Callithrix jacchus: one gene and its partner. The protein of the gene in region 2 binds, or shares a complex with, the protein of the main gene of each other region. Links are inferred from orthologs where the notes say so. Each region holds a gene or a part of one and is shown on either strand. Other genes may lie near its edges. The genes, in order: CACNG1 and CACNB1.

Evidence for each region.
Region 1: CACNB1 (region 2) and CACNG1 share a complex: the UniProt entries of both Homo sapiens proteins name them as parts of the calcium channel complex. The link is inferred for Callithrix jacchus from reciprocal best matches to the Homo sapiens genes CACNB1 and CACNG1.

The regions. Positions count from the first base shown.
Region 1 is NC_133506.1:122,263,112-122,267,621, reverse strand, and holds the start of CACNG1 (voltage-dependent calcium channel gamma-1 subunit), read left to right. Parts: upstream 1-1,701; 5' UTR 1,702-1,806; coding exon 1,807-2,035; intron 2,036-4,510. UniProt on the Homo sapiens protein: Regulatory subunit of the voltage-gated calcium channel that gives rise to L-type calcium currents in skeletal muscle. Regulates channel inactivation kinetics.
Region 2 is NC_133506.1:119,682,810-119,687,209, forward strand, and holds the start of CACNB1 (voltage-dependent L-type calcium channel subunit beta-1), read right to left. Parts: upstream 2,958-4,400; 5' UTR 2,784-2,957; coding exon 2,700-2,783; intron 1,265-2,699; exon of another isoform or gene 1,256-1,264; coding exon of another isoform or gene 1,202-1,255; intron 263-1,201; coding exon 176-262; intron 1-175. UniProt on the Homo sapiens protein: Regulatory subunit of L-type calcium channels. Regulates the activity of L-type calcium channels that contain CACNA1A as pore-forming subunit.

The DNA of each region.
Region 1 (4,510 bases), about 2.6 Mb from region 2:
TGGACGCGAAACTGATTTTTAAAATATGAAAGTTTGGGTGGAACTGCCATAACCACATGCCAGTGGCTGGAGACATGAGGGTTCCGCTCATCCCTGGGGCTGTTCACCCTGGCTTGCCACATCTCCTCTCTGGGCTGCAGATTCCTAATCTGTCACAATAGATCTTGAAGCTTCTTCCCAGTTCAAACCATGGGTTAAGACTTTGGGTTCTGGGTTCTGAAACCTGGCTTCCTCATTTTCCTGCTGTGTGATCTTGGAAAAGTGGCATCATGTCTCTGAGCTTCTGTGTCCTTATCTGTGAAATGCAGTAAGAGTCGTAGCTCCCTTGTGGATTGGTGTGGAGAATAACTGTGATGCTGGAGGAAGGCTTAGCAGAGCGCCTAGTCGACAGGAAGCCCTCGCTGAAGACGAGCCGTTGCTACTATTATCATCATCGTGAACTTTCTGTGATTCCAAGGCTGGAGGCTGGAACGTTTCTGTCCACATGGGGAGAGTCTCTGTAAACCGTGTCAATCTGAGGCCAGGATTTTGAAGCTCAAGGCCCCACCCAGCTTAGGAAGCTATTCCTGGTCATGCATCAGCCTCTCGGCTAGACCCAAAAAGGGCTACCCGGTAAGCTGAGAAAGAAGAGATGGCACAACCTGGCACAACCTGGAGGGATGTAGGGGCCAGAGCCTTGGGGATCCCTGCAGGGCAGCCAGGCACACAGGACCCTGGGAGGGCGCTCAGTTCCAGGCTTTCTGTGTTCTCTGCCATATCTAAGCACTCACGAGCCTCCTAATTATCCCCCGTAAATCAACCTATTTGTTCTTTTTTACTCACACCCTTATTTTGCAAATTAAATAAGTGTGTTCAAATTAAATAAAAATCATTATCACCTGCTGTTAATAGAGGCAAAACCAAACACAGTACCCTGAAAACAGAACGACCAAGTCCAACGAGATTCCTTGTCCTCTTCAGGCCATTCTCTCTTGGTTTCGGAGGACACTCTGTGGGCAGTACAGACACTGACCCCAAATGCAGCTTTGCTCTGGACCCAGTTCCGGGTATGGAAAGAGAATTGAGAAGGAAGTGATGTTCTCATGAAGGGGTCAGAGTCGGGAAAGGCCAGGCCTGGGAAACACCAATAATCTTCCCACGGTTTGGGGGAGGCCATGGATTTTGTGGCTAAAACACTCCCCAAGAGGTGGACTCCAGAGGCCCTGGACGGGTTCCCTGGGATGTCCCTAAACAGTCCTAGTCTCCCCAGATCCCAGGATGAGGACCTACTCACTGCCCTGCTGGTGACAGACTTGCCCTGTGGGAGCCCGGGAGAGCCAGGCAGCCTGCAGCTCTGGTCTCCTCCCCTGCCCTGGGATGCCCTTTCCCAGCAGCCCAGAGCAGGCAGGTCCCCACCCCCAGCCCCTGCTGCCCACCCCCTCCCAACTCAGACACCTTGAGCTGCTACTCCACAGAGGCCTCAATCCACCACCCAGAGCCTTCTCTCCTTGCCCCCCTACCAGGGTACTTCTGGCTCCCAAAGGAAGAAACCCCTGAAACCTGAGCAGAAGCTGTCCTCGGTGCCACGCCTGGAGACGGTCATTAATAGCAGCCTCCCTCAGGCCCCTGATTCGTCTGGACAGCTGCTCAGCATGTCCAGCGTCCCTCAGCCCCAAGCCCAGCCCACTCTGGCTCAGCCAGGCCACACTAAACTTAGTGGCCACTCCCAGCTTGACAGCCACTGCCACCCCCCAGCTCGGCTGTCACCTGCCCTAGGAGACACAGCCGCCGGACCCTGCCCAGGGCACCCACGCCTCGGCGACCACCATGTCCCAGACCAAAACGCTGAAGGTCCGTGTGACCCTCTTCTGCATCCTGGCGGGCATCGTGCTGGCCACAACAGCCGTGGTAACCGACCACTGGGCTGTGCTGAGCCCCCACCTGGAGCACCACAACACCACCTGCGAGGCGGCCCACTTCGGCCTCTGGCGGATCTGTACCAAGCGCATCCCCATGGACGACAGCAAGATGTGCGGGCCCATCACCCTGCCCGGGGGTAATGTACCCAGCATCCCTCCCAATCCCCACTTCCTGCCCTTTCCCATCTTTCCCCAACAAAGTTACCCACACGAAGCAAGGCAGGTTTCTCTGCCTAGAACAGGGCAGCCGCCCAGCCCTTTCTGCCCAGGGAAGAAGATCCGACTCGCATGTGCTGTGCTGGTGGCCGGAGCTGGGTTGTAAGACGAGGGCGTTTGTCCCAGCTATTTCTGTCTGGCTGGACCTTGGGGCTTTTTGTCCAGAGCAGACATCTGAGCAGGCTCAAGAAAGGGACTGTGGCTCTACCAGCCCGGGGGCTTCTGGGCCCCACCTGATCACTCCCTCCCTGCCAAGACAGGCTGAGTGGCTCTGTGTGCTCAGACTCGTGGAACCTATCAGGCTGGCAGGTTCGTTCCTGGACTTAAGGCAGGAGAGTAGACTGGACAGGTGAATTTGCAGGGTCCTGTGCTGAATGAAAGTGCAGGGTTCCCTGCTCCAAATTACCGAGGATTTCAAGGCAGTGACAGCGAGGCATGAAACCAAGCATGGACCCTTGAGGGCCCTGGGCCTAGGGCAGCTGCACAGGTTGAATGTCTATGAAGCAGGACATGGCTGTGGGTGAGCCGCCTGCCCCCTACCTTTTCTTGAGACAGAGTTGCACTCTGTTCCCTGTGCTGGAGTACGATGGTGCAATCTCGGCTCACTGCAACTTCTGCCTCCTGGGATCAAGCTAGTCTCCTGCCTCAGCTTCCCCAGTAGCTGGGATTGCAGGCATGCGCCACCATACCCATCTAACTTTTGTATTTTTAGTAGAGACGGGGTTTTGCCATGTTGGCCAGGCTGGTCTTGAACTCCTGACTGCAAGCAATCCGCCCACCTCGGCCTCCCACAGTGCTGGGATTAGGCATGAGCCGCCGTGCCCAGCCTCCACCCCCACTTTTGTCAGGACTTCAGTCCTCTGTGCCTCCTCTCTTAGCTCAGACCCTATCAGCATTTTAAAAGACCATGTCAAAGCATTTTCCTCATCCTGTCATTTAAGCATATTCCTCAATTTCCTACCATGTGACCAAACCACATGTCGAAGGTAAGCTCTTTTTCAGGAGTACCTGGTATTTGTGTGGCTAACCTCTATTCTGCAAATGCAGAGGCCTCTGGATTCTTAGCAAATACAGCACTTCTTTAGAGGAAAGAGGGCTACATGGAGACCAGGCGGCCAGGAATCATCACCATTGCCTACCACGCTCCAAATGACTCTCCAGGGAGGACAAAGCTCAACTCAGCCTCAGCTTCTTCCTCTATAAAATATGGGACTGACTCTCAACAACATAAGATCCCTTCCCAGGCTGAGGGACACCCATCCATGGTGGCAGTGGAGCAGGGTGATGTCAGTGTGATGTCCCACCTGGCTTTCAGGATTATTCCGTCTTTTATCAGACTGGATGTTCCTTGAAACCTGTCCTTCAAGGACACTAAGGCTGAGTCCCCAAAGATCTTGCAGTCTGTTTGTGGGTCAGAGAGCCCAGACCCCATCCTCCCATGTCTCTGCTCCCTCTTCCTTCCCTCCTGCTTGCTCCAGAGATCCCCTCCCTTGCTTACCCCAACTGGGTGCCCAGAAGACTCGTAAGTACCCAGCTGTTGTAGAAACACCAAGTCCCAGTGCTTGAGGGTGACAGGTGTGAGCATGTGCTGGCAGGGTATTGCATAGCTGGGATGCCCATGTCCCTTGACCACTGCGAAGCACACCCATAAACAGGCACAGCCTCCAGCCTACTCCCCTGGGTGGGGCAGGGCAGGGCAGGGCGAGGTAGCTTCTACAGGGACCACACATGGGGACGTGCTGTTACAGTCCTGTTCACCCATCTCTGGAACCATCTGACTTTTAAAGTCAGAGAAGAGGGCTGGGCAGTGAACAGAGTCCACACAAGGAAGAGACAGGCTGGTGAGAGGTGACTGGACCAATCACAGGGGGTGACAGGCTGGGGAGACGTTAGTGGACCAATCACAGGGGGCAACAGGCTGGCAAGAGGCGATTGGACCAATCACAAGGGACCAACAGGCTAGTTAGAGGTGAGTGGACCAATCATAGGGGGCCAACAGGCTGGTGAGAGATGACTGGACCAATCACAGGGGGGCAGCATGCTGGTGAGAGGTGACTGGACCAATCGCAGTCACTGGAACCAATGCTAGTCACTGGAACCAATGCTAGTCACTGGAGCCAACAGGCATTGCTTGAGCTTGAGCCTGACCAGGATCTACCTCTTTGACTTCTTAGCCTAACCAGCCATGAACCATACCTCCCACGCTTGTGACACGGAGCACTACCTTTCCCCCAGTAATCTTCCAAAGTATGTTCCTGCCTTTTTCCCTCTCTTTTCTGTGCAAATGGACATCTTTCTCTTTCCCTATCTGCCCTTCTTGTGTTCCCTGGGACCACTCTTCTCTAGAGGGAGGAAGTGAGTTCATATGTGGCTTCTCAATTAACAACAGTAATAAT
Region 2 (4,400 bases):
TGCAGCTGACAGCACATCCAGGAGAAGTCATGGGGTGTCAGGGTGATGGGGTGGCTCCAGGTGGGTGACAAATGGCACAGGGAAGGGTGGCTGGAGAATACCGCAGACCTGGCTCACCAACGCTGGTCTCCACCAACCAGCCATCTCCCTCTACTCCGCCCAGCCGCCCCATTACCTGGCGGACGAAGCTGTTAGATGTGGTATCCGAGGACGTGCTCCCATCTGACCGTTTGAATCGCCCTTTCCTCTTGCTGTATTTGCCCTGAAGAGGCCAGGAAAGGAACCAAGGGTAGAATCAGAAGGGCCCTTTCCCAACCCTCATCTAGCCAGCCCCATAGCTACAGCCAAGCTTGGAAACAGCATTCCCAGATCCAAACAGCCCCACCCCCAAACCCCTGCACCTTCTTCCCGAGGTGGTACAGCCCAAGGGGGGTCTCCCATCCTCACAGAGAGGGCCCAGACCACAGCTAGGAGTGGGGACCAGTGCAACAGGGCCCTAGGAGGCCCACACGGAAACCCCAAACCAAGCCAGAGATGCTGGGAAGGGGGGAGGCGCGGAGAAGCTGGAGGCTCATTAGGCAGCAGAGCTAATTAAGATGCTGGGCAGGCTGCACAGGCCTCCGAGGAAGGGAGAGGAAGGGAGAGGCAGCGGGCAGTGCTGGGGGCGGGGGTGGAGAGAGCGGGAAAGTCCCCCCTCTCCCTCCACAGGAGCAGAGTGGGGCTGTTTATGTTGGTGGCCCCCAGAGAGGAAGAACTGCCAACCCAGGGCCCAGCCTGGCTTCTCCCCATGCCCAACTCTTCCCTTCGCTATTCAGAGTAGGGAGGGGATGACAGCTCCCTTGGAGACTCAGAGCCAGATTTCTGGGAGGGAGTAGGGGCATGGAACTGTATTTGGAGAGTAAACATCCAGCCCTATCCCTGGCACCATGGGGGCAGACTTTGCTCCCCACTCTCGTCCCTTGCCCAGGCAGGACTTTTTCTCAGCTCCCTCTCCTCACAATCACAGTAGCCACATCCCTCCCCAAGGGGGCAAGAGGGATCAAGCTGCTACCCTGTGGCCCCCAACTGCCACTGCCCATGCCCCATGCCCACGGTACCCATCAGGCAACGTCGATCTAAATGTCCCTCGGCCCCACCCCACATGAGCCTAGGATACAGCCCCACAGATCCCTAGTGGGAAGGCTGGCTCAGCCTCACTGACCAGGCTCCTGGCTCCGGTGGAAGAAACACTGCCGGAGCTTTCAGGAAGCAGCATGTTCAGGTTAAGGGCTTCAGGGATTTCCAGGCCTCCTGTAAGAGGATCTGCTTCCGGCCCTCCCCAGCTCACAGGCATACACACAGTTGGTCTCAGCCCAGTCCAGAATGGGGAGAGTGAGTAAAGGCTCAGGCTTCCAAGCCCCGGCCCTCAGTCTCCCTCCTAGACTTTCTTTGGCCAAAGAACCTAGAGGAGCCACAACCAGACTGGGGGTTGTGGCTGCTGGGATCAGGGTACAAGAAAGAGGATGGAAAATGGGAGAGAAGGGCACCTGGGGACCCTTCCAAGATCCTCCCCTCCCCACCTTTCTCTCAAACCACACATACACCCAAACTCTAGTCTTGACGCTCCCTACAAACCTAAGAGGATCTCCCAGTGAGTCCTATACACCACCCTCCCCCACCACCATGCTGGGCAAAGGAGTGGCACTCAGAGGGACAGGGGACAGCTGAAGGGAAGGCCCCAGTCAGCTGCCTCCCAAGTTCAAAGGGGCCCAGGGTGGAGGAAGGTATTTTTAGGTCTAACTTGACCCCTCTACCTCCCCATCAGCCACATTATGATGGTGGTTACAGCTGTGGCCACAGTAATAGAAGAGTTAATGCTACCCTTGGAGAACAGTCCCAAAGAAATCCCCTGGCATGATCATCCCAGAGCCTGCTGGTCTCCCCATGGGAACCCAGAGCGCCCAAGAATGCCACTTCCTGGGGTAACCCGGGGCGTAGGAAAAGTGTGCCTGCCGGGATGGAGAAGCAGACCCCTCCCTCAGGTAAAACAGCTTTTTCCCCTCCCGGACAGTGCGTTGGCATCCATCCAACTTTCCAAACTTTGGAGGCGTTCTCGGGGCGGGGGTGGGGGTAAGGAAAGTCAGCGTGGGTGTAGGGGAAGGGAGCAGGTCCGACGTAGAGATGGAGTCCAGGTGGCTGGACAGGGGCCTCGCCTGGAGCTGTCCCTTTCCCCACCCTCGAGAACCAGTGTTTTCGGCTTGGAAGGCCTGTTGGCATTTGGCACCGCCCTCTGACCATCTCCCCGTGCCACCTCCGCCCCACCCACACCCGCCTGGCGCCCCCGAGCGTGCTCTGAATCGCCCCCCTAGGCTTTCTAGCCTCCTCAACCTCCCCTTCTCAAGGCCCAGATTCTCCCCACCAGCACCCCCACGCTCAGCCCACTAAAGCCGGTGCCCAAGCGGCAGGAACCCTGACGCGGGGGAGACAAGGAGGCGAGGGTGACAGGCAGCCAACCCGCCCCCTCCCCGCTCTGCAGCATCGCCTCCCAGCCCCAGGCCCAGCGCCCATCAATCACAGCCTGCAAGGATGGGGACCCACAGGCATCCCTCTCCCCTCCGCTCCGGGCATAGAACCCCTTCCTCTCCCGCGCCTCTCGAGCCGACCCCCACACGGTCCACGCGAGCGGCCCCCTCCGCTTGGGCCGGGCCACGATGCCTCACCTGCGGGCTCGGGTCGAAGACCTCCATAGGGATCTCCTGGGAGGGTGGGTAAGGGCCCCGGGACATGCTGGTCTTCTGGACCATGGAGAGGAGCTTCCCCTCCCGCCGCCGGCCCGGCGCAGCCGGGCGCCCTCAGCGCATGGGAGAGGCCGTGGGAGCCGAGAACGGCGCGGCGCAGCCAGCACCTGATCCAGCCACCCAGCCCGGCCTTCGGCTCCCTCCTTCCTGCCTTGCCTCGCTCCTCCCGCTCTCCCCACTGCCGCCGCCGCCGCCGCCGCCTCTCCAGTAGGCTCAGCATCTCCCCGCACCCCTCCCTTGCTCCCTCCCTCCCTCCTTCCCTCCGCCCGCCCCGGCCCCGCCCCTCGCAGCCCCTCCGCCGGCACCGCGCACCCAAAGGGCTGGCGGCCGCCGGGAGGCAAGCCCCTCCTGGCTCTAGAGAGCCGCAGGTGAGCCTCCAACTGGCCGCGGCGTTCAGATGGCCCGTTGGGGCGGGAAGGGAGAAATCAGGCGTGAAACTTGGGGGTCGGGGGCGGTCTACCAGTGGATGCCTAACGCTGATGGGGATGTAGTGCATATTGACACGGCTGGTACCGCCCCCCTTTTGTCCCAAACCTCTCTTCCTGCGGGTCTCTCCAACCCACTCCTGCTTGGGCTACCGGAACTTCCCGGTCCCTGTGATCCTGGGACCTAGCTTTAACTCCTTTCTTCCCAGTGTGGGGCCCAGGCTGCCTCAAACCAAACAGAAAAGCCTCTCCCCCTCCAACATGGTTCTAGGGCTGCTGGTGGGAGGCTGAGGCTAAGATGAGGAGGGTGTCCAACAGAGACAGCAAAAGAAATCCCAGGGGTCCAGGAGTTCTGCCTTAATCAGTTACTAGGATACACTCCCCTACCCCCTGCCCCTGCTCTTCCAAAAGGCCAGGAATGGGACTGGGTGAGGTCCCTGATCTTAGAAAAGAGGAAGAAATATGGAGCTGAGAGAGCAGAGGCTGGTAAAATCAGATCTCATGACCTTTGACCTAGAGTTGCTCCACCTTTACCCCTGATTTAGGGACAAACATCCAAGGTCTGGACTCCACCCACCATGACTGGTAAAGAGAAGATGAATAGGAGATTCTGGGCAATAGACCTTGGTGCCAATTTGGCTCAGGCTGTTTCTGGTTGTATGGCCCTGGACAAACCACCTCTGTGAGCATCAGTTTCCTCTTCTCCTATAAAATGGGGTTCCTGGTACTGTGGAGTCTGTGTCACCTGGGATTACTGGGAGGATGAGGGAGAATTAAATGGATTGCTGGGTTGTTTGGAAAAGCTGTAAGGTGCAATGAAAGGGTCAGTCATGACAGGAGGACTCAATTCCTTCCTACTCCACCCCTTCTCCTGCTCCACAGAAAGGAGAGATGGAGAAGACCCTCTCCAGGTCAAGTGACCTTAAAGTAAGGCCAGCTGGCTGTGTTCTGCAGGAGAGGAGACTATGGGACTCCTCCTCCTCACCCGATTCTGATAACAAGTGAATGGTCAGCCTGTCATTTCTCTGATCACATCACCTTGGGGAAGGAGGAGCAGTGAGTGAAGATGAAGCCCCTTAGAAACCTTCCAGGAAGAGCTCCAATCCTGAGCAGAGTTTCCACCTGCCCCTTGGAGACAAGAAAGGCTGGCATAACCGCAAAAGCATGGGCTTTGCACTCAGAGATACTTGCGTTCTCA